7 linked regions of the Macaca fascicularis genome follow. The protein of the gene in region 7 interacts with the protein of the main gene of each other region in a pairwise test. Links are inferred from orthologs where the notes say so. Each region holds a gene or a part of one and is shown on either strand. Other genes may lie near its edges. The genes, in order: NIF3L1, OAS1, PSMB1, EIF3D, STK25, ARHGEF3 and TRIM27.

The links.
Region 1: the proteins of TRIM27 (region 7) and NIF3L1 interact in binary tests that used the Homo sapiens proteins (3 or more experiments, as listed by UniProt). The two-hybrid records come from large-scale screens. The link is inferred for Macaca fascicularis from reciprocal best matches to the Homo sapiens genes TRIM27 and NIF3L1.
Region 2: the proteins of TRIM27 (region 7) and OAS1 interact in binary tests that used the Homo sapiens proteins (3 or more experiments, as listed by UniProt). The two-hybrid records come from large-scale screens. The link is inferred for Macaca fascicularis from reciprocal best matches to the Homo sapiens genes TRIM27 and OAS1.
Region 3: the proteins of TRIM27 (region 7) and PSMB1 interact in binary tests that used the Homo sapiens proteins (3 or more experiments, as listed by UniProt). The two-hybrid records come from large-scale screens. The link is inferred for Macaca fascicularis from reciprocal best matches to the Homo sapiens genes TRIM27 and PSMB1.
Region 4: the proteins of TRIM27 (region 7) and EIF3D interact in binary tests that used the Homo sapiens proteins (3 or more experiments, as listed by UniProt). The two-hybrid records come from large-scale screens. The link is inferred for Macaca fascicularis from reciprocal best matches to the Homo sapiens genes TRIM27 and EIF3D.
Region 5: the proteins of TRIM27 (region 7) and STK25 interact in binary tests that used the Homo sapiens proteins (3 or more experiments, as listed by UniProt). The two-hybrid records come from large-scale screens. The link is inferred for Macaca fascicularis from reciprocal best matches to the Homo sapiens genes TRIM27 and STK25.
Region 6: the proteins of TRIM27 (region 7) and ARHGEF3 interact in binary tests that used the Homo sapiens proteins (3 or more experiments, as listed by UniProt). The link is inferred for Macaca fascicularis from reciprocal best matches to the Homo sapiens genes TRIM27 and ARHGEF3.

What each region holds. Positions count from the first base shown.
Region 1 is NC_088386.1:96,660,879-96,665,158, forward strand, and holds part of NIF3L1 (NIF3-like protein 1), read left to right. Parts: intron 1-432; 5' UTR 433-458; coding exon 459-894; intron 895-1,759; coding exon 1,760-1,922; intron 1,923-4,280. UniProt on the Homo sapiens protein: May function as a transcriptional corepressor through its interaction with COPS2, negatively regulating the expression of genes involved in neuronal differentiation.
Region 2 is NC_088385.1:119,855,737-119,859,792, reverse strand, and holds the end of OAS1 (2'-5'-oligoadenylate synthase 1), read right to left. Parts: intron 3,430-4,056; coding exon 3,250-3,429; intron 1,597-3,249; coding exon 1,254-1,596; 3' UTR 1,082-1,253; downstream 1-1,081.
Region 3 is NC_088378.1:530,160-534,439, reverse strand, and holds part of PSMB1 (proteasome subunit beta type-1), read right to left. Parts: intron 671-4,280; coding exon 564-670; intron 1-563. UniProt on the Homo sapiens protein: Non-catalytic component of the 20S core proteasome complex involved in the proteolytic degradation of most intracellular proteins. This complex plays numerous essential roles within the cell by associating with different regulatory particles.
Region 4 is NC_088384.1:15,132,039-15,136,944, reverse strand, and holds the start of EIF3D (eukaryotic translation initiation factor 3 subunit D), read right to left. Parts: upstream 3,347-4,906; 5' UTR 3,258-3,346; intron 1,072-3,257; 5' UTR 1,004-1,071; exon of another isoform or gene 986-1,003; intron 9-985; 5' UTR 1-8. UniProt on the Homo sapiens protein: mRNA cap-binding component of the eukaryotic translation initiation factor 3 (eIF-3) complex, a complex required for several steps in the initiation of protein synthesis of a specialized repertoire of mRNAs.
Region 5 is NC_088386.1:137,448,318-137,451,960, forward strand, and holds part of STK25 (serine/threonine-protein kinase 25), read right to left. Parts: intron 3,518-3,643; coding exon 3,461-3,517; intron 3,017-3,460; coding exon 2,908-3,016; intron 2,153-2,907; coding exon 1,995-2,152; intron 1,909-1,994; coding exon 1,723-1,908; intron 1,563-1,722; coding exon 1,372-1,562; intron 1,083-1,371; coding exon 968-1,082; intron 560-967; coding exon 488-559; intron 1-487. UniProt on the Homo sapiens protein: Oxidant stress-activated serine/threonine kinase that may play a role in the response to environmental stress.
Region 6 is NC_088376.1:119,843,383-119,847,662, forward strand, and holds part of ARHGEF3 (rho guanine nucleotide exchange factor 3), read right to left. Parts: intron 3,901-4,280; coding exon 3,868-3,900; intron 3,130-3,867; coding exon 2,959-3,129; intron 1,539-2,958; coding exon 1,476-1,538; intron 1-1,475. UniProt on the Homo sapiens protein: Acts as a guanine nucleotide exchange factor (GEF) for RhoA and RhoB GTPases.
Region 7 is NC_088378.1:144,252,532-144,257,325, reverse strand, and holds the start of TRIM27 (zinc finger protein RFP), read right to left. Parts: upstream 3,313-4,794; 5' UTR 2,962-3,312; coding exon 2,542-2,961; intron 1,309-2,541; coding exon 1,213-1,308; intron 1-1,212. UniProt on the Homo sapiens protein: E3 ubiquitin-protein ligase that mediates ubiquitination of various substrates and thereby plays a role in diffent processes including proliferation, innate immunity, apoptosis, immune response or autophagy.

The sequences.
Region 1 (4,280 bases), on a different chromosome or scaffold from region 7:
AAAAGGGAGGTCAAGAAAAGTTTTATTTAAGAAGTTGAAGGGGGTTTGGGAAAAGGAAGGATAATATTTAGAGAAATGGATTAGGGAGGAGGTTGGTTGAAGCAAGGGTAGGGAGAATAAGAACAAGGGTGTGTGAGGCAGGAGATGGGATGGACGTTTGTGTATTATGTACCAGACTTTGCTAGGTTACATAATTCATTTGCTCCTCTGGATGGCCTGTGAGGTGGGCTATAGTATCTCCATTTCGTAGGTGAGAAAACAAGATTGGAGAGGTTAAATGGTTTACCTAAGTTACTATGTGCTGGTAAGTGGCAGAGCCACTATTTGAACCCAGATCTCTATGATGACAGTTCTTTTGCCCATATGCTTTGATGCCTCAAAGATCCAGGCCTAAAGTGTACCTGTGTACCATTTTCTTTGTTTTGACTTCAGAAACTTGAACTTTACCTGATTTCTGTATGTTGTCATCTTGTGTACGCCCGGTCCCCACGACAGTCCGGTTTGTAGATTCTCTGATCTGCAGTTCTTCCCGTTCCTTCATGGATTTGAAGGCTCTCCTTTCTTCCTTGAATGACTTTGCATCCCTCTCCTTTGCTGAGAGTTGGGACAATGTTGGATTACTGGTGGAACCAAGCCCACCACATACTGTAAATACGCTCTTCCTGACCAATGACCTGACTGAGGAAGTGATGAAGGAGGGGCTGCAAAAGAAGGCAGACCTCATTCTCTCCTACCATCCGCCTATCTTCCGACCCATGAAGCGCATAACCTGGAACACCTGGAAGGAGCGCCTGGTGATCCAGGCTCTGGAGAACAGAGTCGGTATCTACTCTCCTCACACAGCCTATGATGCCGCACCCCAGGGCGTCAACAACTGGTTGGCTAAAGGGCTTGGTGAGAAGCTTCTTTCATATTTGATATTTTCCCTGCAAATACTTTGAAACCTTAGAATGTCTGTCCAGTAAAGTTTTAACTGCTTTAGGGTTGGGGAGGGTATGATTCCATTTTTGTATAATAAATTTAAAATAATGTTGCTGAAATTTGGCAGTTAAATTGCATTTGAAAAAGGAAACATTTTTTATTCTTACGGAGTTAGGAGAGCAGAAGTCTTCCTTACTGGGCTGAACTTCGTGATCCCTCACTTTTGTGGCACAATGCCTGTCACCCAGGCACTTGAAAAATGCTTGTTGAATTGAAAGCTCAGGTCTCTCCAGAATACACTTGATTGATAAATCAGGCAAATAGACATCTGGGTTTTAGTGAATGTTTTTAGTGAATGTTTACTTATGCCTAGGGAATGATGTATGGATTTTAGCTTTACTTTAGTAAGTCTTTTGTTTACTCATTTTGGGCTGAAGCTTTTATGATGATATCTGGATTAATGTGGTCAAATAAAGTATGAGCATTTGCAACCTGAATGATGGTTTACATGGGTAGATTTACCAAACAGTAGACCATTCTGTGTATTATCTGAAAATGTATGAATCAGTCTTTCTTGTCCAAGTTTTTCAGAGATTTAAGAATCTTTTGGAAAATAATTCTGAAATAATTTGATTTTGTACATCCATACCAAAGCCCTAGGGGACTGGTGATGTATATCTAAAGGATATATGTATGTGTGTGTATGTCATATAAGCATGAGAATGAATCTTTTAAAAAAGTCATTTCTTAGAAATTTTGCCTATAATAGTTTATCTTACTTTTAAATGTTAACCTCTAACCCCCCAAAACTCCCATTTTCCCACAATATTTTCTCTAGGAGCTTGTACCTCCAGGCCCATACATCCTTCCAAAGCTCCCAACTACCCTACAGAGGGAAACCACCGAGTAGAATTCAACGTTAGCCACACCCAAGCCCTGGACAAAGTCATGTCTGCAGTGAAAGGAATTGGTGATGTTTCTGTCACTTCTTTTTCTGCTAGGTACAATTTATTTTTCTCTTTTTTGTGTGTGTATTTATTTGTAAGCATCTTCCTTACAAAGTCTGTAACCCTGGTATTTAGGCTTGAAACAAATAATTTTCTCTAGAGTTGGTTTACAAAGCAGCATACTCCTCATTTGTCTGTGGGTCCTGGAGACGTATGGAATTTTTTCAAAACAATAAAAACAACAAGTAACACTTATTAAGTATTTTCTATGTCAGGGGACTATACTATGCATTTTATATACAGTATTTCTAATCCTGTTGATGTTCAAAGATAGTTGTTTTCACTTTAGAGAACACAGATAGATCCTAGTGATGTGGTGATGAGGCTTTTATTGGTTCCCAGCAAATCAGTGATTTCCAAGCACTTTCTTTGTTTTTTATATTTATCTTTACATTTTAAATATATATTTTCATAAATCAGTTTTTTAATTTAACATCATGGGAAATACTTTTCTGAATAATCTTTGTTTGTTTGTTTTAAGAGACTCCCAGGCTGGGCGCAGTGGCTCACACCTATAATCCCAGCACTTTGGGAGGCCAAGGCTGGTGGATCACCTGAGGTCAGGAGTTCGAGACCAGCCTGACCAACATGGAGAAACCCCGTCTCTACTAAACAAAATTAGCTGGGTTTGGTGGCGCATGCCTGTAATCCCAGCTACTCGGGAGGCTGAGGCAGGCGAATCACTTGAACCCAGGAGGCGGAGGTTGCAGCGAGCCGAGATCGCTCCATTACACTCCAGCCTGGGCAACAAGAGTGAGACTCCATCTCAAAAAAAAAAAAAAAAAAAGCGATTCCCATGCTGGAGTGCAGTGGTATGATCGTAGCTTGCCATGGCTTTAAGCTGCTGGTCTCAAGCAGTCTTCCCACCTCAGCCTCTTAATTAGCTGGGACTATAGCTGCCAAGCACTTCAAGTGAAAAATACATTAAGTGCCTCTTTATAAGGTCAATCATTATTTAGGGCAGAGATAGGAGTTTTTTTGGTTTGTTTATTATTTATTATTATTTTTGAGACGAAGTCTAGGTCTGTCACCCAGGTTGGAGTGCAGTGGCACAATCTTGGCTCACTGCAACCTCCGCCTCCCTGGTTCAAGTGCCCGCCACCATGCCTGGCTAATTTTTTTTTGTATTTTTGGTAGAGATGGGGTTTCATCATGTTGGGTGGGTTGGTCTTGAACTCCTGACCTCGTGATCTGCCTGCCTCAGCCTCCCAAAGTGCTGGGATTATAGGCGTGAGCCATGGTGCCCAGCTGTTTTTTTATTTTTTATTTTTGAGAGACAAGGTCTCACTTCGTCACCCAGGCTGCAGTGCAGTGGCATGATCACAGCCCATTGCAGCCTTGACCTCACAGGCTCAAGCCATCCTCCCACCTCAGCCTCCCTAATAACTGGGACTATAGTTATAACTTGCCACCATGCCTGGCTAATTTTTGTATCTTTTGTAGAGACAGGGTTTTGACTTGTTGTCTAGGCTGGTGTCAAACTCCTGGGCTCAAGCCATGTGTCCACCTTGATTTCCCAAAGTGCTGGGATTACAGGCATGAGCCACTGCCCCCAGCCTAACCTCTCATTATTTTTAATTGCTTGTAGTGTTTCTTATTATGGATGAACGGTAGTTTCTTTAAGCATTCCTCTTCCTACTGATGGACTTTTTAGTTCGATTCCAGTTTTTCCATATTGTAGATAATATCTGAGTTTTACCACTAGATAGGGACCAAGGCATTGGTTTTCTTTCTTTTTTAAAAATTTCGGCCGGGCGCGGTGGCTCAAGCCTGTAATCCCAGCACTTTGGGAGGCCGAGACGGGCGGATCACGAGGTCAGGAGATCGAGACCATCCTGGCTAACACGGTGAAACCCCGTCTCTACTAAAAAATACAAAAAACTAGCCGGGCGAGGTGGCGGGCGCCTGTAGTCCCAGCTACTCGGGAGGCTGAGGCAGGAGAATGGTCTAAACCCGGGAGGCGGAGCTTGCAGTGAGCTGAGATCCGGCCACTGCACCCCAGCCTGGGCGACAGAGCAAGACTCTGTCTCAAAAAAAAAAAAAAAAAAAAAATTTCACAGATGATTGCAGAGTTTATAATTAATGCTTCCAGATTATCTTTAAAGGTGTTCTTTAGTTCTAGAATTTTATGATTATATTTAGAATTTATGGTTAAATGTGAAACTTTCTTGATGCCAATAATTTTGGAGAGGCTCTGGAGGGTGATCCAAGGACCCCCTGCATGATTGTTAATCAGGTGCTTATTTAAAATGCAGATTTTTGTATTCATCTCAGATCTTGTAATTAGAATGGAGTTTGCCTGAGAATCTGTCCAAGACATTCTCAAATTCAATGTTTTAAAATTATCTCTAA
Region 2 (4,056 bases), on a different chromosome or scaffold from region 7:
TGGGCGATCCTGGGCAAGCACCGCAACCTCTTAGAACCTCAAGTTATTCCACTTACTATTATGAGAATAACATCAAAACCCATCTCACAGGGGCAAAACCCATCTCACAGGGGTGCTGGGGGACTAAATGGAAGAATATAATCTGGACAGACCAAAGACTGCTTGCCAGCTACCCAAGTGACCAGCAACTCAGGTGATCAGAGCATTCAAGTTCTTTTGTGAGTATTTATGAGAGTTTTATATTTTAGAGTATTATGAATGATATGCTGATTCTTGGTCCCAAGGACAGTGTAACAATGTGGCAATGTAAGTCAGTATAGTCGAATCTTTAATCCAGTGATTTACCTTGGAGGGCAGAGCTGTCCAATAGAAATACATAATATAATGTAAGCCACATGTGTGATTTCACATTTTCTAGTAAACACAATTAAAAAGGGAAAAGAAAGAGATGAAGCTCATTTGATTTAACTCAAATATATTTAAAAATTGTCATTTCAGCACACAATTAAACAAATTATCAGTTGGCAAGAACTTGGCCTTCTTTTCATTTGTACTAAGTCTTTGTAACCAAGTATATATCTTGCACTCACAGCACACATAGATTTAGACTAGCTATGTTTTAAGCATTTGATACATGTGGCTAGTGGCTGCTGTGTCACATAGAGAGGTTCTAGAATTTTTCTCAGAGATATGGAGAAAGGATAAATCAAGGATGCTTGTTTCAGAATTACTAGTAATAGGAAAACCATCTAATATTAAGATGTTTTGCACAAATGTCAACTCCATAAGGACACGGATTTTTTTTTTTTTTTTTTTTTACTTAAAAAATTCTGGAAGCCTTGGCTCTGCAGGGTCATGAGGACAGGGATTTCTGTCTGCTTTTGTGCATTGCTATGTTCCCAGTGCCCAGAGCTATGCTTGGCACATAGTAAGTGCTCAATAAATATTTCTTGTTGAATCAATGTATACACACACACACACACAAACACCCACACACACACACACACACCCCCCCCCCCCCAGATAGGCATCTGTACTTCTTGGCGGCTCTGTGCCTTGAAGTTAATAAACACCCAATAAATGGTATTTGCTTTATTTTTATTGTTATTGATAATACATTAGACATAACCCTCCCATCAGGTTCACAGAAGAAAGTCAAGGCTGGAATTTCATTCTCTTATCTAAATCTCTCTGTTCTCTCTCAGGGAATATTTTCAGAGAATAGGTGGAATGAAGCGAGGCTGTGGGGAATGTTATCTATGATAGGAGAGAGGGCATAGAAGGCCAGGAGTCAGGAGACCTGGGTTCTGTCCTGGATTATACACCAGCTCACTGAGGACCTTTGTCCTCTCTGGATCAAGCGTCCCACCTGGAAACGAAGGGGCTGGTCCAGATAACACTGGAGCCCTTTTCCCTAAGATGCACTGGCATTCAGAGGATGGTGCATGTCCAGTTCTCTTCTGCCTGTGGAGTGGATGCTGCCTGGAGTATGCTGGGGCTATGAGAGAAATGAGGGCACTCATATGTTTGGATGTAACCATGTTGCTGATACATCCTGGGATCGTAGGACTCATCGTCTTCACTGTCGCTTTCAGCCTGAAAGGGTGAGACACATGATCTCATCAGGGAGTCTTCCTACCTTGCAGCTGGATTCAGTGAGCATTTAAGGTGGACACTGTGACATGCCATCTGGATCCCCCTTTGAGGAAAGACTAACAAACCCCAGCTGCTGGGATGGTGGGCAGCAGACAGACTTCAGCCCTCAGCCCGTTTAGGGGTTGCCTCAGCTGCAGAGAGCGTTTTGCTCAAGGCCATGCCCTTTCCCAGGTGCCCAGGCACAGTGAGTGGTCCATGTAGGGGTATAGAGGCCTGGCCACTTCTGTCGCCATGGGGCAGCTCTAAAGGCCATTCCAGCTCCAGGGCTGTCCTTGAAGTTGGCTGAAGCTGGCATTTGCTTTGCATCCCTGTTCACTTCTCCCTATGCTCTTTCTTTCTTTCTTCCTATCCTTTCTTCCCCTCCTTTCCCTGAGTGCTGGTTCCAGTGGCTCTCCCCCAGAACATCCTGCACACTAAATTCCATCCACACTAAATTCCATTCCTAGCCATCTGCAACATCATCAATCCCCTGGAATCAGACAGATTCCTGCTTGGGGGTAGAAAGATCCAAGACTGGGTCCTTTGCCCCTATTTAGCCCAAGGCACTCAGCTGCTCAGAGTCTCCCACTGGTCAGATGAAAGGTGAGGATGAGACCAGGCTGGCTGTTTAGCACCGTGACATGAGCACTGGCTTTAGAGTCCACTGAGTTTGAATCCTATTTCTACCACTCGTGATGTCCTTGAGCAAGTGACCTCACCTCTCTGAGCCTTTGTCTCATCTGTAAGATGGGAATGATAGAAAACATACCTCATGGGACTTTTCAAATGACTAAAAACAGAATGTCCATTCAACTCAGCAACTCCACTACTGAGTATCTACCCAAGGGAAAAGAAATCATTATATCAAAAGACACCTGCACCCATATGTTTATCGCAGTGCTATTCACAATAGTAAAGTCATGGAATCAACTTAAGTGCCCATCAGTGTGGACTGGATAAAGAAAATGTGGTATATCTACACCATGGAATATTATGCAGCCATAAGAAAGAATGAAATCATGGGTGCAGCTGGAGGCCATTATCCTAAGTGAATTAACCCAAAAACAGAAAACCAAATACTTAACATCTGCTAAAGATGGGAACAATAGACACTAGAGACTCCAAAAGGGAGGAGGGAGGAAGAAGGGGAAGGGTTGAAAAAACTCCTTTTGGGTTCTCTGTTCACTAATTGGGTGACAGGATCAATAAAGGCCCAAATTCCACCATTACACAATATAGCTGTGTAACAAATGGCACATGTGCCATCTGAACCTAAAATAATAAAAATTAAAAAAAAGAAAACATGCCTCATGGGATTGTTGTGAATATTTAAAGAGATAGTGTATATTAAAAGGCTTAGGACAGAACCTGAGCCCGAAGCAGACAGTCAGTAAATAGTGCTACAGATTATTATTATTACTTTTAGGGGAATGAACTCTGGACAAGGGATGTGAAGATTCCAGAAACCCTCGATTGTGACCAAAATGACTGTTAAATATGGAGCACAGCCTGGAACTATATGAATACAAATGGCCTTGGCAAGAGGTAAGTTCTTTGGAAAGAATGGTCTCCAGCTATATGTCTCAAGCTGTGTGGAGAGGGGCAGGGATGAACGGCAGGGAGGAAGCAGGAGGTCTCACCAGCAGAATCCAGGAGCTCACGGGGGACCCATCCCAATTCTTAAAGCATGGGTAATTCAGCCAGGCCTCAGCCTCTTGTGCCAGCTGCCTCCAACCCTTTGTGTCTCCACCACCCAGGTTTCCTGTAGGGTCCGCCGGGTCCAGAATCACAGGCCTGCAGAGCAACATTTAGAGAGGGACAAGTGAGAAGCTGGGGCTCAGTCCAGGGAGTCCAGATGCTCCTTGGAGAGCAAAATAGCAGCCTGGGATGGACTGGGACTCAGAGCACGAGGAAGGGCTCCCTGGGGTATGTCCCCAGTGCCCTGTTCCCCAGTGGGCCGTGAGCATGAGGAGAAGGAGCCTTGCACTTGCGCCTGACAGATGTGGGTTTGAATCCCACCTCTGCCCTTTATGAGTGATGTGCCCTTGAGTAGGTCACTTGAACTCTCTAAACCTCAGGATTCTTATCTGTAAAATGGAGATAGTTCCACATACGTATCTCAAAGGCTATGGTGTGAGGATAGAAAAAGCCCAGTTATGTGAAATGCTCAGCACAGTGACTACAACATAACATACATGTCAGTAATATTGATAATAATTTTTACTATTATATTAGCATGTGTTAGTCTTACAGCAAGCTTTCAATACCTGGGAGCAATTACTATCATTGTTGTTGCTGCTGTTCTTATTTCAGTTCAAATTCCAGCTATTTTACTCATTTTCTGTTAAGGGCCGGACGAGCTCCTTACCTCTCAGAACCTCAGTTTACTCACCTGTAAAATGATAGTGCCTGCCTCACAGG
Region 3 (4,280 bases), about 140 Mb from region 7:
TTTCCTGTAGTTTACTTTCTCATAAGAATACAGCACATAATACATATATAAAACACGTGATAATCCACAGTTTATATTATTGGCAAGGCTTCCAGTCAACAGTAGGCTTATTAGTAATGTTTTCTGGGAGTCGAAAGTTATATGTGGATATTCCAGTGCTTGGGGAATTGGCACCCCAACCCTTGTGTTGTTCAAGGGTCAGTTGTAGGCTTGGGAGTTCAAGTACAATACTGGGTAACACAGAAACGGTGGGTAAGACGGAGAAAGGTATTTTTATGATCTTCAGGTAAAGATGGCAAAAGAATTAATCACTACAGACATAAAAGAGTTGGAAGCCATGAGAATACAGGAAAACAGTCAAAACCATGGGAGTAGGTAAGGACCCACCAGAGAGTAGGGAGAACACAGAGAGAGATGGTAAGGCTTCTGCAGGGCACATCTGCCAAACTCAAACAGTAATTTATAAGAAAGTCTTTATACCTTGGATCTCCTAAGCTAATGAAGAGAACTTGGAGAAAAGTACTTCAAATGAATACTATGACAAATTAGACACATATCATTACCTGGTTGTCAAGCAGGGGCTGTAGCATGGCACTTGCTGAGCCTCCAGCCTTGAAGGAGTCTCTCTGGTAAGACCCTACTGGGTCAAAGCTGTATACAGCCCCCTTTCCTTAAAGAAGAAAATAGTATCCATAAGGATGGCATCCAATCACAATCCCAAATCATCACAAAAATAAATCAAGTCAAAACGTGACACAAAATGGACTATCACCTTGGCTAAAACGTCAGGGAACAGTTGGAACACAGTCACTGTTGCACTGGTGACAGCTGCACCACACACACTGTTGCACATGTGAAAGCCAGAACACAGTCGCCATCGCACAGGTGACAACCAGCACACAGTCACCATCGCACAGATGCCACCCAGCACACAGTCACCATCGCACAGGTGACAACCAGCACACAGTCACCATCGCACAGGTGCCACCCAGCAGACAGCCCCAACCCCTGTGTTGGTGTGTTGTTCAAGGGTAAACTATGCTTGGGAGTTAAAATACAATATTAACACAGAAAGGGTGAGTAAGAGGGAGAAGGGCATTTTTATGATCTTCAGGTAAAGATGGCACGAGAATTAACCACTGCAGATGTAAAAAGAGTTGGAAGCCATGAGAATTCACAAAAATAATCCAAGCCATGGGAGTAGGTAAGGACCCACAAGAGAGTAGGGAGAACACAGAGAGACAGTAAGGTCTGTGTAGGGCACATCAACCAAACTCAAACAGTAATTTATAAGAAAGTCTTTATATCTTGGCTCTCCTAAGCTAATGAAGAGGAGAACTTGAAGGAAAGCACTACCTATGTATATAGACAGGTCCAAGGGACACATCCGCAAGACAAAGTAAAATGAAGAGAATTCTGTAACATGTATAATACAATACTATTTTTGTTTAAAAGAATAAGAAAACTCTTTGTACAAGCACAAAAAAGTCTGGAAAGATAAATAACAGACTGTGGTTGGTTATCTTTCAGCACTGAATTAGAGGCAAGAAAAGAAAGGAATTACTTCTTATGTTTCTATATTATTCGAGTTTTAAAAAGAACACAGGTAATTCTACAATTTTTAAAAAGGCCTGTTAAAAACAACTGTGTTCTGGGTATGAGAAATCATGAATCATTTACAACGTATGATTTTTTAAAAACATAACTGATTTGGAAAACACATTATATACCAGAACTCAGTACCCTGGGAGATGTGATATAGGGACAGTCTTCTTACTAACTATGTACAACTGCCACTGTTAGCTTTGTATGTTTTCTACTATAGAACTGTGTAAACTTGGCCAAGCGCAGTGGCTCATGCCTGTAATCCCAGCACTCTGGGAGGCCGAGGTGGGCAGATCACAAGGTCGGGAGTTCGAGACCAGCCTGGCCAACATAGTGAAACCCCGTCTCTACTAAAAATACAAAAATTAGCCGGGCGTGGTGGCATGTGCCTGTAGTCCCAACTACTTGGGAGGCTGAGGCAGGAGAATCGCTTGAACCCGGGAGGCAGGGTTGTGGTGAGCCGAGATCACGCCACTGCACTCCAGCTGGGGCAACAGAGTGAGACTTGGTGTCAAAAAAAAAAAAAAAAAAAAAGAATTGTGTAAACTGAAATTCTCTGGTGGAGAAGGCACCATCTGAGGTCACCTAAGAAACTGTGGGAAGTATTTTTGCTGAAAGCAAGCTTGGGACAAGACACGAGATCACAGCAGGCAATCCACTAACCTTAATATACAAAAAAAGAAAGAGATATAAGGTGTAAAGGCAAAAAAATGATTATATCTCTCATGAGGACGACGGGCCACATATAAACTGAGGTCCAAAAGCTTTACCCAAGGATGGGACCTATCTCAGAAAACCACACACAACAAATTTGAAAAAACAAACCGAAGAAATGGTGGGCTACGTCCAAGAACACAGCTTTAAAGATCCCCTAGAAGAAGGAAGAGAGACACTACTAAAATCAGTATAAAACAACAAAAATAAATAAATAAAAATAAAAATAAAAATAAATGTAGAATGGCATGAATCTTGACTACAAAGTGCTTTTCCTCATCAAAGTAAAATCCAAAAAGCACAATAATTTCAATGTAAAAAAATCAGACAAGTCTTAAAAGAAACACAGGTAAGCTTTGGATGGGAGAGGTTTTTCTAACAAGGCAAGAAACTGAATGTCATAAAGAAATGACTGACAGATTAGACTGTATGAAACACAGAAATTTCTGTGTAGCAAAAGGCACTGCCCAAAAGAGACAAATAACACTCTTGGGGTCGTCTATATTACAGACATTTGACACAGTTGAATGTAGTTCTTGAAAATCAATGAGAAGAAAACCTGCAAATAAGGAAATGGGCAACAGTTAACACATTAATCAGTCTCCAAAGAGGAAATTTATAAACTCAATAAACATATGAAAACATGCCCAAAAATATATATAAATGAAAATAATAGACTGTTCAATGGGGAAAAACATGTTTCCAAATGTGTTAATTCTAATACTGGGAAGGCTACATAAAACCAGGTACTCGGGGTACTGGCATGTCCTTCAGAAAGGGTACAGTCAACAAAATACAAAAAAAATTATCTGACCCAATACTTCAACTACTAGAAGTCTATTTTAGCAAGACAAGCATAATTGGAGAAGTTCACAAAAATGGATGTACAATGACGTTCATCATATTGTTTATATCAAGAAAACAGGAAGCCAAAATGTCCTTTAGAGGACTGGTTAGGTAAATGATGGTACAGCCATACTGTGTAAGTCAGCTATTAAAAACTATGTGTTACAGCAGCAAAAACAGAAGAAAAAAAAATTTAATTAAATACAAAAATCACTATGCATACAGCTTAGATCTCCTTGATAATAGACAATGTATAGTTACAGAAAAACAGATACCAAAGTCCTACTTATATAAAACTGCACGAGTGTATGTATAAACATGTACTGATTGATTATTTTCACTACCGAAAAACTAAAGCCACTTTTAATTTGGGAGAAAAATATTTAAAAGGCATGACAGCAGCTAAGAGAATAAAGACAGAGAGGTTAGTGCCGACAGCGGTTGACACCAAGGGAAAGAGCTGTGGACCTTGCTGTCCTGAAGGTTTCAATATGGAGCACTGCTCTCCAGGTCCCTGCATCCACCAACACAGAAGACAGTAAATGAAGTCTCCTGATACATTAGCAGAGGCTCTCGACTTAGGGGACCAGGTTCTAGAGTGGCAAAGGGTAGGAGCAAAACACATGAAATGGAAAGTTGGTGTAAACAAAACACAGACCATCAGGCCCCTTCCTCCTCCGAGGCCTAAAATGCTGCCAACCAGGCTTCTCCTCCTGTAGTCCCACCTCACCCCAGGAAAAAAGATTAAAGAAATTCTTCATCTGAAGAAAATGCTGCTTATTGAAGCACCCAGTTAATGGCTGTCAGTTGACAAGCTATGTAAACAAGGACTTTTATAATCAAATTTTCATACAACACTTCAATGTGAATGGACAGCCAAAAAAAAAAAAAAAATCAGAAAGTTGAAGGAAGCCTCTAACACAGAAGACACAGGCCAAAAATGAACATACAACATGAAAAAAAAAAAAAAGCACTCTGATGAAATATACAAAGAAAGTACAAAACATCTAACAAAAACAGAATTTTTTTTAAAAAAAGCTAAAAAATAAGAAACAGCTCTTGGAAATTAATGACACCAGAAATAAAAGCAATCAGTAAAGGATGAAAAGCTAAAA
Region 4 (4,906 bases), on a different chromosome or scaffold from region 7:
TCCAAAACCTGAAAAATATAAATCATGTGAGTAGCGGCATGAACGAAGGCCTCAGAGTACAAAAAGCCCTCCATATGAAGTAAGCAAAGACATAAATGACAGAATTCAAAAAGCAACACGCAAACTGGAACCCTCAACTGTTGAGCGACTACTACTGTTAATTATACTGTGAATATGTACTTAAAACCCAGAAGAATGCAAACAAAACTGATTGACCCTATGTCATTAATTTCACGAAACTCTTTCACTGTAACAGCTTTAAAAGGAGGCAGCACCTTGTGCTTGACAGAGTGTCATATTGATTGGTAGTTTTTCTTTTTTTTTTTTTTTTTTTTTTTTTTTTTTGAGACGGAGTCTCACGCTGTTGCCCAGGCTGGAGTGCAGTGGCGCGATCTCGGCTCACTGTAAGCTCCGCCTCCTGGGTTCACGCCATTCTCCTGCCTCAGCCTCCTGAGTAGCTGGGACTACAGGCGCCCGCCACCGCGCCCGGCTAATTTTTTGTATTTTTAGTAGAGACGGGGTTTCACTGTGGTCTCGATCTCCTGACCTTGTGATCCGCCCGCCTCGGCCTCCCAAAGTGCTGGGATTACAGGCTTGAGCCACCGCGCCCGGCTCTTTTTTTGTGTTACACAATGTAAGTGTTTGAAAAAATTCAATGGTGTCACAGATTTGATAAAATGTACTGATGTTTTTTCAAATATAGTAACCTTGTTTTGGTTCTGAGATATACCTTCACCAATTCATACAAACTCAACTTCCCTAAGACTTAGTAGTCTTTTTCTTTGTTTTTGGAGACAGAGTCTCACTTTGTCACCCATGCTGGAGTGCAGTGGCATGCAACCTCCGCTTCCTGGGTTCAAGTGATTCTCCTGCCTCAGCCTCCCGAGTAGCTGGGATTACAGGCAAGCACTGCCTGGCTATTTTTTGTGCTTTTAGTAGAGACGGGGTTTCACCATGTTGTCCAGGTTGGTCTTGAACTCCTGACCTCAAATGATCCGCCCACCTCGGCCTCCCAAAGTGCTGGGATTACAGGCGTGAGCCACCACGTCCAGCCGCCTTAGTCTTTTTCATCTGCAAAATAAACAAGATCCTTGTTTTAAGCACTTTGTAAAATGCCACACGAGTATTCAGACTTGCAAAAGTACATTTATGCATAGAGAGTGCTGAGAAAAAAGGATCTTTAAGTATATCCTGAAATTCAATTTTCCTTTCTTATTGTTTCAATTTTCTGCCATCAACGCAAATCCTGTGTGCAGAGCAAGTGGACATAAACCCAGGCAAAAGAACTGCCAGAAGGCCAAGGAGGTCCCCATAGACCTCAGGCCCAAAGTGGCCATGTCAGATGTTCATGAATACTGCCAGGCACTGTTCTTAGTGGTGACCACTCATTCATTCATTCAATCCTGCCAACAATCCTGTGAGGTAGAAGCCAATGTTATTCGCACTTTCCAGATAAGAAAACCAAAGCATAGAGAAATGAAGAAATTGCCCAAAGTTGCAATGCTAGTTGATGAAAAACGTGAACCAAAGCAGTCTGACTACAGTGTCTGCACTCTGCATAATGCTATAGCTCTCTCAGGGGAATTAAAAGACCAGGGTTCTACAGCGGATGCTTGCCTGACACTTCCTATAAAAAAAACCTATGCATTTATCTTCCGTTGTAGCCTTCTGAAAATGCTTAGAAGGCATTCACTACACAAATATTTCTTGGAGGCTGGATGCAGTGGCTCATGCCTGTAATCTTAGCACTTTGAGAAGCCGAGGTGGGCGGATCACGAAGTCAGGAGTTCGAGACCAGCCTGGTCAACAGAAACCCAGTCTCTACTAAAAATACAAAAATTAGCCGGGCATGGTGGTGGACACCTGCAATCCCAGCTACGCAGGAGGCTGAGGCAGGAGAGTCGCTTGAACCTGGGAGGCAGAGGTTGCAGTGAGCCAATATCGTGCCATTGCACTCCAGCCTGGGCAACATAGCAAGACTCCATAAAAAGACAAAAATCCAGTATTTCTTGGAGGCTGGAGAACAATCAAAAATAACAGGTATGCTGAACTTAGTAAACTCCCCCCAAAGCCCCATGCTGGGGAGATTGAGGCTTCCTTCAGAGATGACATTTGGGTGACAGCAACACGGAATAAACCTAGAAGCTTCATCTTCCTAATAGGAACTATAGGAAGAGGACAGAAAAAAAGGGTGGTGGTCTCAGAACAATTCGTATTAAATATCGCTGAGCTCCTATGTGTCAAGAAATATGCCAGATACTTTAACACCATTAACACCCCCTCACCCCCACTTTAGAGGCAAAAATTTGAAGCCCAGCCTAGCCAAGCAGCTGACGTCATCATTTCAAAACAGATTTCATTTCCAGGGGTGCCTGCTGTCAGTCCAGCTTTCTTTCCATTTTATTACAGCTGGGTAGCAGCCCGCAAAGATCGGGGGTTTGAGACCGTACCTAGTAATACCAAAAGTGAGTCGCAAGACACACTTTTAAAAATCGGATTCTGTCAGAAGCTCAAGAAGGGAAAAGGCCCGAGGCTTGACCTGCATCACCTCTCTGGAAAGACAGCGGTGAGATACCCTAGCTTCCCTAGCTTTAATACATGTTTTTTTTTTTTTTTTTTTTTTTTTTTTTTTTTTTTTTAAAAAGGAGAGCAGAGAGGAACCAGGAGAAACTGAGCTGCTCAGTAAAAACGAAGTAACAGCTGTATTGGTCAGAAGGGCAGGATAGGGGGGCTCCAAGAAGGCACTCAGAAGGGGCTCTGTGGCTGGCAGGCCACTACGGATCATACGCCGTCCATCGCTGAACAGGGGGTGGCGTAACTATCCTAGCCTCCAGTTTCACAAAAAACGGAAGGTAACCTATGCACTGGGAATTCCTAAGAACAGGGGCCAAACACCGCTCAACCTGGCACCCCTTAAGACCCCACTTAAAAAGTCAGGGTGTCTTCGGCCACTTCAGAAAGACCTTGTTGTTACCCCTCCGCCTTAACCGAGATGGGTTAACTGGCAATCAAATTCACCCAGCCCATGGGCAATGAGCAGGGCCTAGGGCCAGGGACCTCACCCACAAAGTCGTGCCCCGCGTCCAGTAGTGTGCAGGACGTGGGGCCCCCGAAAGTGGATTCCTGCCCCGCCCAGCGGAGGAACAGCAACAGCAGGAAGGGACTAAGAAAGGTCTCTTCCGTGAGGCCCCCGAAGTCTGGACCTAGTCCGAGCCGGCTCCGGAGGTCCGCAGGAACCTATGAAACATGCCGCTCACCTGAAACGGCCTCGGCCGGCCGGGATGGCAACAGATGGTGCTGGCCGGACACCGCGTTAGCAGCAGCACTCCGAGAAACCAGGAAAAAAAGAAAATATGCGCGCGCAGCGGACGCCGCCGTAAACACGACCGGCGCTGTCGTAAACTGCGCTCCCGCTTCCTCTGGGTTGGGCGGAAGAACTTACGAGCCGTAAAGCGAAGGTCCACCCGGAAATCCGTTACTGCGTTTCGCCAGGCGTCCTTATTAGCCTCTGAGGCGTCGAGACGCGAGAGGTGTGATTGGTACTACGTCAGGCGGTATCCGGGAACGCCCAAAGAGGGCGTTCATCACTGAAACGTGGCGGCCGCGCAATCGAAGCTAGAGGCGGGGAGCGGCTGGCGCCCCTCTGTGTCCCACAATGCTCGCGGCACGCCTTAGCCCCCATGTATCCCATAGTCACCCGCGACTCCCCGCCTGCTCTATCCGCCTGCTTAGTGTGAAGCTCACAGCAGGAGAGGTTGGTCGGGGTCTTCGGGGGACTTTATTGTTACCCCCTCCGCCTTTATAGTTGTGGAAACTGAGGCTCAGAGGTGCCAAGTGACCTGCCTAGATCAGACTGCTAGTTTAGGGTTCTAACCGCCAGATTTCAAACCATACTTAAACGGTTCTCAAACTTAATTGTAGGACAGGGATTTCTGGAACACCGTTTTTATTTATTTTTATTTATTGTTTGAGACAGGGTCTCTCTCTGTCGCCCAGGCTGGAATGTGGTGGCAGGATCACGGCTCATTGCACCGTCGACTTCCCAGGCACAAGCCATCCTCCCAGCTCAGCCTCCCGAGTAGCTGGGTTTACACAGGCACACACCAACACGCCTGCCTAAATTTTTGTATTTTTGGTAGAGATGGGGTTTTGTAATGTTGCTCAGGCCGGTCTCAAACTCCTGAGCTCAAGCAGTCCACTCACTGGGCCTCCCAAGGGCTAGGATTACAGGCATGAGCCGCCGTACCCGGCCAGCTAATTATTTAAAAAAATTTTATAGAGACAGAGTCTCACTATGTTGCCTGGACTGGTCTTTAACTCCTGGTCTAAAGTGATCCTCTCGCCTTAGCTTACGGAGCACCTGAGGCTACAGGTGCATATCACCTTGCCTGGCTAATTTTTAATTTTTTTTTTTTTTTTTTTTTTTGAGACGGAGTCTCGCTGTGTCTCCCAGGCTGGAGTGCAATGGCGTGATCTCGGCTCACTGCAAGCTCCGCCTCCCGGGTTCACGCCATTCTCCCGCCTCAGCCTCCCAAGTAGCTGAGACTACAGGCGCCCGCCACCACGCCCGGCTAGTTTTTTGTATTTTTAGTAGAGACGGGGTTTCACCATGTTAGCCAGGATAGTCTCGATCTCCTGACCTCCTGATCCACCCGCCTCGGCCTCCCAAAGTGCTGGGATTACAGGCTTGAGCCACCGCGCCCGGCCTAATTTTTAATTTTTTAATATTTATTTATTTATTTATTTATTTATTTATTTTGAGATGGAGTCTCTCTCTGTCATCCAGGCTGGAGTGCAGTGGCAGGATCTCAGCTCACTGCAACCTCTGCCTTCCAGGTTCAAGCGATTCTCTTGCTTCAGCCTCCCAAGTAGCTGGGATTGCAGGCGTGTACCACCATGCCCGACT
Region 5 (3,643 bases), on a different chromosome or scaffold from region 7:
TCTCACCCACATCCTCCCCAGGCTCCAGGAGGGGCTCCTGGAGAGCACACCTGGGCCCAAGCCCACTGGCCACGCCCTGGGCACAGAGCTCCTGGCTGCATCACATCTCTGAGAATGGTGCCGACTGCCCATTAGCAGGTGACGCTGATGCAAGGTCATGTGACTAACCAGGGAGGCACCTGCCCTGGATGGACCCCGACTACATCTTCTCTGCTTTCTCTATAGAAGGGTCATCTGTGTTTGCACTTGAAGAAAACAAAAGTCGCTCTGGGAACCCAGAGGACCTTGGCAGGTCTGGGAGCACAAAAGGTCATCACAGCAGATTCTGCTCCTTCTACTCAGGAAACCCAGCCCATAATCAGCTGCAGGAAACCTAGAAGCTGAGACTGCCCCACGGCACTGTGAGGGGACATCCCCGCGGAGCAGCGTCCCAGCCTTGTCCCTGGCGGGGCTCCAGCCCCAGCCCCAGCCCCAGCCCCCTTCTCACCTCTCCGAAGACAGGCCGGACCAGCGTGGACAGGCACTGGGACCTTGGCTGCCTCTTGACAGGCTCTGCGGGCTGCAAAGGAAGTGGAGGCCCAGGGTGAGCAGGGCAGTGCAGGCGACAGGCAGGGCACTCCCATCCCTTCAGGCTCTAGCCTTGAAGGGATGGAGACTGGGAGCAGCCTGTCACGGCACATGCCCAGGGCTGGCCCCAAAACCATCAAGCCACCCAGATGGCCTGACTCAGGACTTGCAACTCCCACCCACCCTCTCCTCACAAATTTGGCTCCTAACAGGCCCTCATCTTCCCAGCACATGCTGGGGCTTGGGGTCTCCACACCAGGCCCAGTGCCACAGTGGGCTTCAGACCACCCCTGCCTTTCCCAAGCTCCTTGTCCAAGCCCCAGACACTGGGTGGACAAAGCTGGGTCCCGCACCCAGCCCCAGGGGTGCACAGCAGGCAGAGGCCAGGCCGGGAACAGACCTTCTGTGAGCTGTGCAGGGCCGTCCCCTTGTGAAGCTTGCTGTGTGGACTCGGCCGGATGGTGGGGGGGAACGTCCAGATGGGGCCCTGCTCCCCGTCCTCCGCCTCGCCATCACTGAAGAGGATGAAGAGTTGCCAGGGTCAGTGGGGGGAGGACCAGGAGGCACAAGGGCCTCAGGGCACACCTCACGGCCAAGGGAAACCCGAGGTACTGGGCGGCGCTCTGCCAGGCCACGGAGTCCAACTGATGCCTCAGCAGGCCCTGTCCTGCAGCCTTAAGGGGGTCCCTGCCCAATACTATATCTGGTCACTCTCACCCCTAGAGCCCACGCCCCTGCTTCTGGAGTGGGGACCACCCACGTCACAACACCGAGGGTCACCATGAGGATAAACCAGGCCCCTACATGTCAGAGTCCTCGGAGCTGGACTCCTCGCCATGCCCCTCGGACTTCCAGCGCTTATAGCGGTCGATGAGCTCCGTGAGGAAGGAGGTCTTCTTGGTGTAGCGTGTGATGAACTTGTGCTTCAGGAGCTCCTTGGCTGTGGGCCGCTGTGCGGGGTCAGGGGAACATCGGTCACTGGGCCCAGCCAAGCTCTGCCTCAGGAAAGCAAATGTGAGGCAGCCTGGACTGGGGCAGGTCCTCATGGCTACAAGGCTGGGGGGCCTAGGCCTCCGGGCTGTGCTGCCCACCCCAAGCAAATGCCCTCCCTCCATATGCCCGTCCAGAAGGGGCCAGGCCAGAGGCGGGCCTTACGAATCGGGGGTCCTTGTTGAGGCAGGCCTCCACGAACTCCTTGAACGGCTTGCTGTGCTGGCCCTCCAGTGTGGGAGGGCTGTTCTTGGGAATCAGGAACAGGACGCGCATGGGGTGGAGGTCAGAGTTTGGAGGCTCCCCCTTGGCCAGCTCGATGGCCGTGATCCCCAGGGACCAGATGTCGGCCTGGACAGAACACAAGGACTGTCGCTGCCCTGAGCACCCCAGTCAGGCGTGGTGCCCGCACCCGCCCGCCCACCCACTGCACCCACCTTGAAGTCATAGGCCGACTGCTTGATGACTTCAGGCGCCATCCAGAAGGGGGTGCCCACGAACGTGTTCCTCTTAATCTGTGTGTCTGTGAGCTGCCCTGCTACCCCAAAGTCCGCCAGCTTCACATCCCCCTGCTCCGAGAGTAGCACGTTGGCAGCTGCTTGACACAGGACAGGCAGACGTCATGCCAGGCTCCACGTGGCTCCACCCAGGGCCCCCTGAGAAGGGCCAGGGTATCATCCACCTGGCCTCCTAGGGCACAGCAGGGCTGTCCTCAGGACTTCAGCCCTCCTTGCCACTCTCAAACCCAGGGCCACCTAGGGCCACAGGGGCACTGCCAGAAGGAGCCTAAGGTCTCCACTCCGAGCTCCAGGGCTCTCCCTGCATTTGGCTTTTACAACAAATCCCAACGACAGGCGACTTCGCCCACTGGGGGCTACCACAGAGGTGACCCTGACCAAGGGTGTGGCCACCATGGGCCTGCCAGGAAGCCCCTTGCTCCACCAGACTTGTCCCCTACATGAGAGAGATGACTCGGTGCCGGTGGCAAGTCCCTCCCCACAGGCTGGCCCAACCTCATGTCTGCACTTAGCAGGGCCAGACCACACGCTGGGGCTACTCAAGCCTACACCTGCTGTTGTGCTGTGAGCCACCGGGAACCAACAACTGTGGCTAAGCGTGGCTGTTCCTACACTCAGTCCACAGCTGGTTTCCTCAGCGTACAAGGAAACTGTTACAAACAGTATCTTCTGGAAATGGAGCAAGACAACTGCTCAGTTTCAGGGTGGCCACAGGGTTCTCTATACCCCAGACGCTGGGCACCACTAGCCACTTGCCCCTCACAGGCCCCAGCCTCTCTAAGGTCAGTGGGGCTCAGGACATTACAAGAGCCACATTCACCCCCAGCAGGACCTTTGATGTCTCGGTGGATCTTGCGTTCGGAGTGCAGATAATCCAGGCCCTTCAGAATTTCCCGCAGGATCGTGGCAATGTACGTCTCCTCCAGGGGACCTGGTTTAAGCTGGAGAGGAAGGTGGGACAGCAGGGCCTCAGCTCCTGTCCCAGGCCCAATGCCTGAGTTCTCCTGTCTCTCTGACAGGGGAGGGCTGTCCCTGCAGATAGCCGGGGGCTTCATGTTCCTTTACTTCTCAAACACAACTTTCAGACGGGAGTGGGGTGGTCTAAAGCATATAAACCAGCTTCGCTTTACTGTCATGTAACAGAAAAACAGGCTCCCAACCATCTCCCAGCGTGCCTGCCCCCGCCCACTCCCACAGGCCAGGACCCCTTTCAGCACCAACTGGGCAGATGTGCGGATGGCAGTTCATTTTTGCTTTAGACGATTCGTAATTAACACCTAATGTGCCATGACACCAAACGAGAGGTGGCCCCTGGAGCCCATGAGTCTGAGGAGCAGGGGACTCGGACACTGCATGACCCCCCACTGCCATGGCCTATGCCTCACCAAGTCCAGTGCCGAGCCGCCGCCCAGGTACTCCATGATGATCCATAGCTTGGTGCTCTGGGACCGGAGACAAACCCATCAGCATTTGGCAGTGAGAGGAAGGGCATGCTCCAGGGTGGGAGTCAGGCCGGAGTCAGCCAGGGCCCAGGCCCCACCGGTCCCATCCCTGCCAAGAACCCTAAA
Region 6 (4,280 bases), on a different chromosome or scaffold from region 7:
CAATTCCCTGCTTCAGCCTCCTGAGTAGCTGGGACTACAGGTGCACGCCACCACACCCAGCTAATTTTTGTACTTTTAGTAGAGACAGGGTTTCACCATGTTGGCCAGGATGGTCTCGATCTCCTGACTTCGTGATCTGCCGACCTCGGCCTGCCAAAGTGCTGGGATTACAGGCGTGAGCCACCATGCCCGGCCTAAGTTTTGTATTTTTTAGTAGAGATGGGGTTTCACCACGCTGGCCAGGCTGGTCTTGAACTCCTGACCTTAAGTGATCCACCCGCCTCAGCTTCCCAAAGTGTTGGGATTATAGGTGTGAGCCACCGGACCCGGCTTATGTTTAAAATTTAAAGATTCACATCAAGACTGATGTCACATGACAGCAAAAAGCCATCAAATCAAAACTGCTCTAGAGGGTCAGAGAATTAAAACTGGAGTGGCCAAGGAAAGTTTTGAAGATGAGCTGCTTGGTACAGAGAAGGAGGCAATAAATGTTATGTAAGAATAAACTGAGATTTGAGCTGGTTCCTGAAGGATGGGTGGATATGAACGGTTGAAAGGAACGAGAAAAGTTTGTAGGACGGTAGGGCCACCATGAGGAAAAGGATGGCCGGGAAACATCTGAAGGTGCTTGAGTTTGGCAAATCTTCATGCAGGAAAGGGAAATTACACGTATGACCAGCATGATAACTCTCACAGTGAAATAACTTCTTTGTCCTCTCTGATCTCCTCCTCCAGCCCTGCCTAAAACTCAGTTTCTTAGCTGTGTCCAAGCAAAGCTTGGGTGGCCGTCTCTCAGGAATGCTAGAGATGGAATTTCATCTTAGCAGAAAGACTAAAAACCCTTAAAAGAAGGAAGGTATCCTTCCAACCCTGTGATTCTTTGAGGAGGTTGTGAATATCAGATGAAGGAGTCTGGTTTTAGCCTCCAAGCCATGGAGTAGGGGGGCTGTGCCACTGGAATGAAAACATTTTTGAGGAAGGTTTGTTGTCCTCCTCCTCCCCACACAAAATGTTGATTAGAAAACAAATTCCTATATAAAAGACCCCGGCTTATATGATAGTATGCAATTGCCTCATTTCACTTTATTTGCTTTTAAGATTCAAATGGCTTTATTTCTAAGACTCAGTTCAAGTTTCAGACAAGCACACATTCTCTCCCATGGGCAAAGACTCGTACATATGAGACTTCTAGGACAACGAAACATACATAAAGCGAGGCCTCCATGGACACTTTCTGATTTGGGCTGAAGTATTCTTTGACATGCATTAGAGACATGCAGAGGTAAATGCCTAAAGGTGCCAGGTCTGGAGAGCTATTCTGCCCTCTGGTTTTGAAGCACCTTCCCCACTGCTTGGTGTGTGGTAGCAGACCAGTCTTAGTCATAAAAGGAGTTCTCATGAAGCACCACTTTAGGGTTGTGAAATTAGTCAAGAAAAAAAAGTGACTTGACTCAAATGACTGGATTTAAATTTACCTTTTTTGCTAATTTCAAGTCTTCTATCAAGTCTTCTTCTCCTTGGGAAAGCTCAAAGATGGCCTGCAAGGAAAGATAAACATATTTACTGAATTCTCCCTTCATTTACAAGACCATATTCAAAGAGTGCTGGCTCCACCACTCAAAACCCCAAATTTACATATTTAAGTATTTTAAGTTACATTAACCTGAAGCAAATGCATCTATGCTTAACCCTGCAATGAAAAGATACTGCAAAACTACTGCATATTGTGCTTCTCTGTTTGTGGGAGAAAGTTTCCACACATTTCTAATTCAAAAAGTCATCTTCATGTTAGAGAACTTTGATGCAGTCAAACAAGAGGGAACTATTTTAGGTAAAATAATTAGCGTGAGCATGGATTTGGTACCCTTGTTGTGAGAGGCAATCATAAGAAGTGATTCAGAGGCTGTTCTAGATAATGGATGTGGCAGTATTATTAACTGGGCCATCCTCACTTTTTCTTCCACTCGACAGAAGGCGAATCTCAGCAGAAAGTTTTATTTGTATTATCCAATGCCTTTAGGCTGATACTGTAGGAAGAATCCAACATTTTATCACTCCAAATACAATCTGGTAAAGTTAATTCATTCTAAATTACCTCTCAGTCCCACAGGTACAAAAAATAAAATTATAGGAGCTGGCTGTGTGGAAGAGTATGTAATGTAAATGGACCGTTTCTAATTTGGCTCCATTAAGCCATCATACTAAAGAGCTATGACGCGCAGAACACTCTTTCACTTCCATCTGGGAAGTCAAACTGTCAGCAAACATTACATTATTAAAGGACTACAAGTTTGTAATTATATTTCAGGGTCTACTGTGTTTCAGGATATAGGGAAAAAGTGGTCAGGCTTTGAAAGCTCCCTCCACCTGGGGCTGCTTGGTAAACTGAGGACAAAGCAGGTGGAGGCACAACCCTGGGCTGGATACTCCAAGGATCTCATCCGATGATGCACACATGAAGTTCTCAGCACAGCCTGGCACAAGCACTTAGACAAGCTCTTCTATACAGGGTAATATTATCAGAGCCATTTAGGGCAATTGATACAGAAAACTTACAGGGAATGAAATTAACTGGATTCTATAGAAAGGAAGTTTTCCACAAAGCTGAATCAAAGTTATGGAAACTGAATATTTTAAAATAGTCTAGAAGTTGCTATCAAAATATAACTAAAATGATTATTTCTGTGAACTTCAGAATCCTAAATAGACATTTGGTTTCATCTTCTTGTAAATTCACATTTTCACATCAGTTTCTTTTTAAAGTGGGGGCCACACCCTCCCAGCTGGTTTCTGGTTTCTCAGTTCCTTCCCCAAGGTCAGACACTCCCGTTTGTCCTTCTACAAATGCAATGAAGAATTGATTTGGAGACTAAGGCGCAAACTCCAGCACGGCTGACGCCTGCAATGCACCTTTGTTGCAGACACACAGCCAACATGGAGTTTGGGCCCGGAGCCTACCTCCTGACGTTTGATTTCCTTGGATGTAAGCATCTGATTGACGCACACATCGAAGGTCTCACTCCACAGCTTGCTATCTCTCCGTTTCGTGCTTGAGGGGGCGGCATTTCTGGACCAGGGTCGGGGGGCGAGGATGTCAGGGCGGCTCTCACTGCGGAAGCTAATGGAGCGCTAAACAATGAGAAAAACAAACCATCACGGGGGCAGCGGCAGGACTGGGTGGATCTTTGAGCAGTTTCCTGTCGTTGACAGAACATAAATCATACATGTGAAAGAAAAAGAGGACATTGCCACAAGGCCTTTGGGAAGTGGGGCATTGTCTTGAGCCTACGTGCTAAGGAAAATTGGACAGGGGGCTGCTTTGGAACATGCGCTGGGAGTATCCGTTCTGTGCGACCTGGATACCAAGTGGACTACAGTGCAAGCACATATCAGGCCAAACTCACGCATGAAGGCAGTTCTTGGATACGTGATGAGCTCTACTTTTTTCCAGTGAACATCTCCCCTCTTTAGAAGAACAAGAGATAACAATAGTGGATGACCTTTATTTATTTAAACATTTGGCTAGTACTCCTACTCTCCTCCTTCTATAAATAGAATCCCACTAACTTTGGGTATCCTATTACATATAGTTTTGGTGGGCTCCCCCAGACCTGACCAACAGAGTATTCCACCATCCTGGTTCAGGGATGGGCATGTGATTCCCTGAAATTTCTCACATGATTTATGGGAGAAAGGAGGAAAGAGTATTCCTTTGAGATTGTGAGTTCAAGAGATAACACAAGTAGGGGCTTCCAGCAGCAACTCTCCCTGGTTAAGCAGAAGCATCTGTCTGCTACAGGAGAGAATAAAGGGACCTAGAATGAAGGATGGAGTGACCAGTGGAGGCAGGAAGGGAGCAAGCTTTACCAATACTGCTTGAGCCTCTGGATCCCACTGTGCCTGAAACCGGAAAGAAGAAGAACCACCCTTAGACATTTTCGTTACATATAGAAAGACATTTCCCTTTCTATTATCTCAGTTGGGGTTCCATCAACTTGAAAAGTCCTGACTAATATACATACTAAATACCATCTTCGCAGCACATGATTCCTGTCCCTGAGGTATTTTCCTATTTCCCAAAGAGGCCCCGGTAGACTCCGGGGCCGTCTAACCATCTGAAGTCCACCTTTGTGACTTAAACATGCTACCAAAATGCTTTTCATGACAAATACAAATGATCCGGAAGAAAGCTGAGTGCATCATTTTCAGTCTTCATACTAGAAGATTTCATTACACTTATTGGAGACTGCCAAAGCAATGAGGTTGCTGTGCTCCAAAAC
Region 7 (4,794 bases):
TCAAAAAACATTTTCAAACACCTAAGTGGTGGATATACAAATGTGTATTATAAATGTCTCTGTACTGTCTTTTTTTTTTTTTTTTCTTGAGACGGAGTTTTGCCCTTGTTGCCCAGGCTGGAGTGCAATGGCACGATCTTGGGTCACCGCAATCTCCACCTCCCGGGTTCAAGTGATTCTCCTGCCTCAGCCTCCCGAGTAGCTGAGATTACAGGTGTGCACCACCATGCCTGGCTAATTTTTTGTATTTTTAGTACAGACGGGGTTTCACCATGGCCAGGCTGGTCTTCAACTCCTGACCTCAGGTGATCCGCCCACCTCAGCCTCCCAGAGTGCTGGGATTACAGGTGTGAGCCGCCACCCCCCCCCCATGCCCTGCCTTGTTTTTTTTTTTCTTTTCAAAACAAAATTCCCAGTTAGGTGCAGTGGCTCACACCTGTAATCCCAGCACTTTGGAAGGCCAAGGCAGGTGGATCACTTGAGGTCAGGAATTCGAGACCTGCCTGGTCAATATGGTGAAACCCCATCTCTACTAAAAATACAAAAATCAGCTGGGTGTGTTGGTACATGCCTGTAGCCTCAGCTACCTGGGAGGCTGAGGTGGGAGAATCACTTGAAATGTGAGGCAGAGGTTGCAGTGAGTCGAAACCTTGCCATTGCACTCCAGCCTGGGTGACAGAGTGAGACCCTGTCGGAAATAAAAAGAAAAAATTCCCATATACCCCTATCATAAATTAATACATCAGCCACTTGTCGAGGCCTTGAGAGATTGGAGGAAGAGAGCAGAGCAAAAAATTCAGAATTAAGGCATTGTCAAGAAAGGAGAATAACACAAAGAGAAGCAACAGTGGGACTTACACAAATCCACTATTAGCACTTGTCTGAAGAATGGTAACAACGCAAGCTAACTGTATCCAATAATTTTACCCATCTCAGCTTTGCCAAGGATCAACCTTGGTCTACGCAGTTAGCAGGTTAAACTATACTGACAGGTCTGATTTCCAAGGGTTCCAAACTTGGCTCCTCCACGCTTTCCCCAAAAGAAAGGGAATCTCTTAGTTCTCTGGGTGAGTTCCCACTGCCATGTGCAGTTGATCCCCCTCTACCTACAGGTTCTGGGTGACATGCTGGACAAGTCTAAGGGAAGTAACATCAGCTCTACAGAAGAGGGGAGCACCAGCAGAAGCGACTGTGAATTCCAACAACCCTTACCAAGAGTTCAGCTCGTGCCTGTTCCCCTTGGGCCCGACGTCTCTTCTTTAAATCTTTCACTCTTTTTAAATGGTCAAGCTGGTTCTGGATTTGCTCCTGAGAAAAGCAAAACAGATGGGCAGTTCAAAACTAGGTAGACCTTAGCATCAGCATGGTACTTCTAATCACACATGGAGTCCACACACCTGATGCCAAGTATCCAGTTGGCACTTGTTCTCAGGCCACACTGCCACCCACAAGAGAAAGACTCAGGGCGCAGGGGCCAACAAGCCACTCATTTGGCAATTTGTGTCTATCTTAGCAGCCTGTCGCTTCAACCACTCAGCTACCTCGTCAGGATTATTTGTGTCTATCTTAAACAATGAATCATCTACCTGTCCCTGGTAGGATATCGCATGACTTAGCGGAACTGTGACTGGAGTAGGAGGCTTAGAGTTATGTTGTATTGTAGCTCTTCCACACAAGCATACTGTGAAAGTGACTTCTTATTTCCCTCATGTGTGAAATGGGCAAACACCATCTTCCCAACCTACTCAAGAGTTCTCACCAGAGTAAGTGAAAGAATATAGCTGAAAGGTCCATAAATGTTAAGTGATTAATTACACATGAATGTATTCATATTTAAACACGGACATAATTGTGTATGAATTCCTGAAGCCCTCAACATACAGAAAATACACAGTATCATGGACTCCTTGAAGGTCACCTTACAACTGTTTTATATGTAATATTTTGTTTCCACGTTTCTGTTTAGCTGTGCCAGTTCACAGAGGGCTCTGTGCATCACATGATTCCATAATCTTCCTCATAACTGTTATCTCCTGAGTCTCAGAGTGGTTAAATGACTTAAGCAGTGAAGAGCCTGTTCTTTTCTGTGAGTTTCTAGACCAGGACGTATTGCAGGAAAGTGCTGGGGAAATGCTTATAGACCAAGGAATGGGCATCGGTCAGTTAATGTCCGACTGCGTTTTGTCTGACAGCCGACGAGAGTACATGTGTCTCTACAGCTCGTCGATGTGCAAGCGATTTTATGCACTTCTTTTATACTGTCAAAAGCATGTCTCCGTGTACAATGTGTCCGTGAGACAGGAAACATGGGGGCACACAGAGAAAGGAGAGTGGGGGTGGGGAGACTTCTGGCTCCCTCGCCAGCTACAGGTTTTCCTCCAAATCTGAGTGCTGAGGCTCTGGAGCGGACAGAGAGGAAATGACGGCTGTGAACCACACGTCCGGCTCAGCCATTTTCTAGGCGGAAAAAGGGAAGCCCCTTTGGCTCTCTCCTCCCTTTGTCCGACTCGCGTTCCCGCCCTCCCGGATCCGCGCCCTCACCTTGAAGCCCTCCACTGCCTCCTCGAGCGGCAGCACGCTGTGGCCGCGGTGCTCGCGGGAGCGGTCGCACACCACGCAGATGGGCATCTGGTCCTCCTCGCAGTAGAGCTTCAGGGGCTCGCGGTGTTTCTCGCACACGCCCATCTCGCCGCCGGGCCCCGACGGCCGCTCGGTGCGCAGCTGCTTCACCAGCTGGGTCACGTTGGCCAGGTGCCGGTTGGGCCGCATGTGCCTCTGCGGGAAGGTCTCCCGGCACTGCGGGCACGACACGTTAGTCTCTGCCGTGCCCCAGCAGCGGGCGAGGCACGCGCAACAGATGTTATGGCCGCAGTCGAGCATCATGGGCTCTGCGAAGTACTGCAGGCACACGGGGCAGGTGGTCTCCTGCTGCAGGCACTCGGCCACGCTCCCGGAGGCCATGGCGCGGGCCTGCGGGGGCTCACGGGCATGGGCCCCGGCGCCGAGCTCTGCACGGAGCCCAACTCTCCGGCGCTCTCTCCCGTTCGCTGTTCCTGGGAGGCACCGGGCGGACGGAGGGCGGTGCCTCCCGGGCCCGTATCCCAGACGCGCCCGCGCACCGAAGGCTCAGAGTGGCCGGGCCGATCCCTGCGCCTGTGCCCCCTGAGCGAGTGCGGGAATACAGCCGGCTCACAGAGACTCGCGGCCACGTTACTGGGGCAGGAACGGGTAGCCAAGGGTCAGGATCCCAGGGCCAGGCGCGCAAAGCGCGCAAGACAACGTGGCCGCGTCCGAGCGGATCCCGGCGGCCGCGTAGACCCCACCCCGGCGCGAGCGGAAGAGGCGGCTCGGGGGGCGGGGCTTGGCCCGCGCTTATAGTGTGTGACAAGATTTCGTGGCCTCGGGGCCCGGGCTGCTTTCTCTAGAAAGGCCTGGGAGGCTCCGCCACTCTCCCTTGGGCGGGTCGCGCCGAAGCTCTAGCCTAGGGGACTGGTCACAAAAGCAGATGGTGCCACACGCTCCGGGCCTACAATCTTCCGCGACTGCCGGGCCCAGGCCCCTAGTGTTTAGTTGGGTTTCTTCTTGGTGCCCAGGTCTCAGCCCCTGCTAAAGATGGCTTTGGCCGCGCGCAGTGGCTCACGCCTGTAATCCCAGCATTTGGGAGGCCGAGGCGGGTGGATCACGAGGTCAGGAGATCGAGACTATCCTGGCCAACATGGTAAAACCGCATCTCTACTAAAAATAGAAAAATTAGCCGGGCGTGGTGGCAGGCGCCTGTAGTCCCAGCTACTTAGGAGGCTGAGGCAGCAGAATCGCTTGAACCCTGGAGGCGGAGGTTGCAGTGACCCGAGATCGCCACTGCACTCCAGCCTGGGCGACAGAGCGAGACTCCGTCTTGAAAAAAAAAGAAAAGAAGAAAGAAAGCTGGCTTTATATAGGTGCTGGGGAGCGCAGACATCTGGCTTCCCCAAGAGGCTGGAGGATGAGGAGGGTCACCGTCTGAGCCCACCTGATAGGTGAGGCCTTTTATTAAACAGACCCATTTGTAGGCACTTGCAGTTTTGTTTAGAAAAAGAAAGGTTTAATTATCAGATGGTAACATTTCTGTGTGGCAATAACAAGCCCAGCTCTGCTACCTCTCACTTGTGCCCAAGCAAGTTGGTTTACCATTCATTTACCTCAGTTTCTCCTCGTGTGAAATGGGGATGATAACTGTACCGCCGTAAAGAAGTAGATTTCGTTACATCTTTTACTTTTTGAACCATAAGGTTGTTTATCCATTAAAATAGTAACAAAATGCCCATTACATAGGGTTGTTGTATTGAGGAGCAACTAAAAATTGCTTGCTCCTTTCTGAAGTATAGAGAGACTAAGAATCCTACAGTGACCCAGGGTCTTGGAGTCCCACAATACTCGTTGTCTTATCATGCAGTAGACCTCCAGCATTTTTAAGTTGCTTTCTTATCCCTTGCTTGATGTCTCCTGCTTTTCTTTGAGATTTTCTCAATATTGTCCTGCTATCTGAGCAATACGGGCTTCTGCTTCCAGACCTTACTTGATTTTTATTTTATTTTTTCAAAGTGAAAGTACGTTTATTAAGAAAGTAAAGGAATAAAGAATGGCTACTCCATAGGCAAAGCAGCCCACATCATCACTTTAGAGTTCCCCTCTGGTCCTCTTCCCCATGGGACAAGAAGTCTGAGGGACTAAGTGCACTTGCCAACCCCAAACCCACATCCACCTTGCAACCATACTCTGAGTACCCAGTCGTTCAAATTCCAGTACCAAATAGCC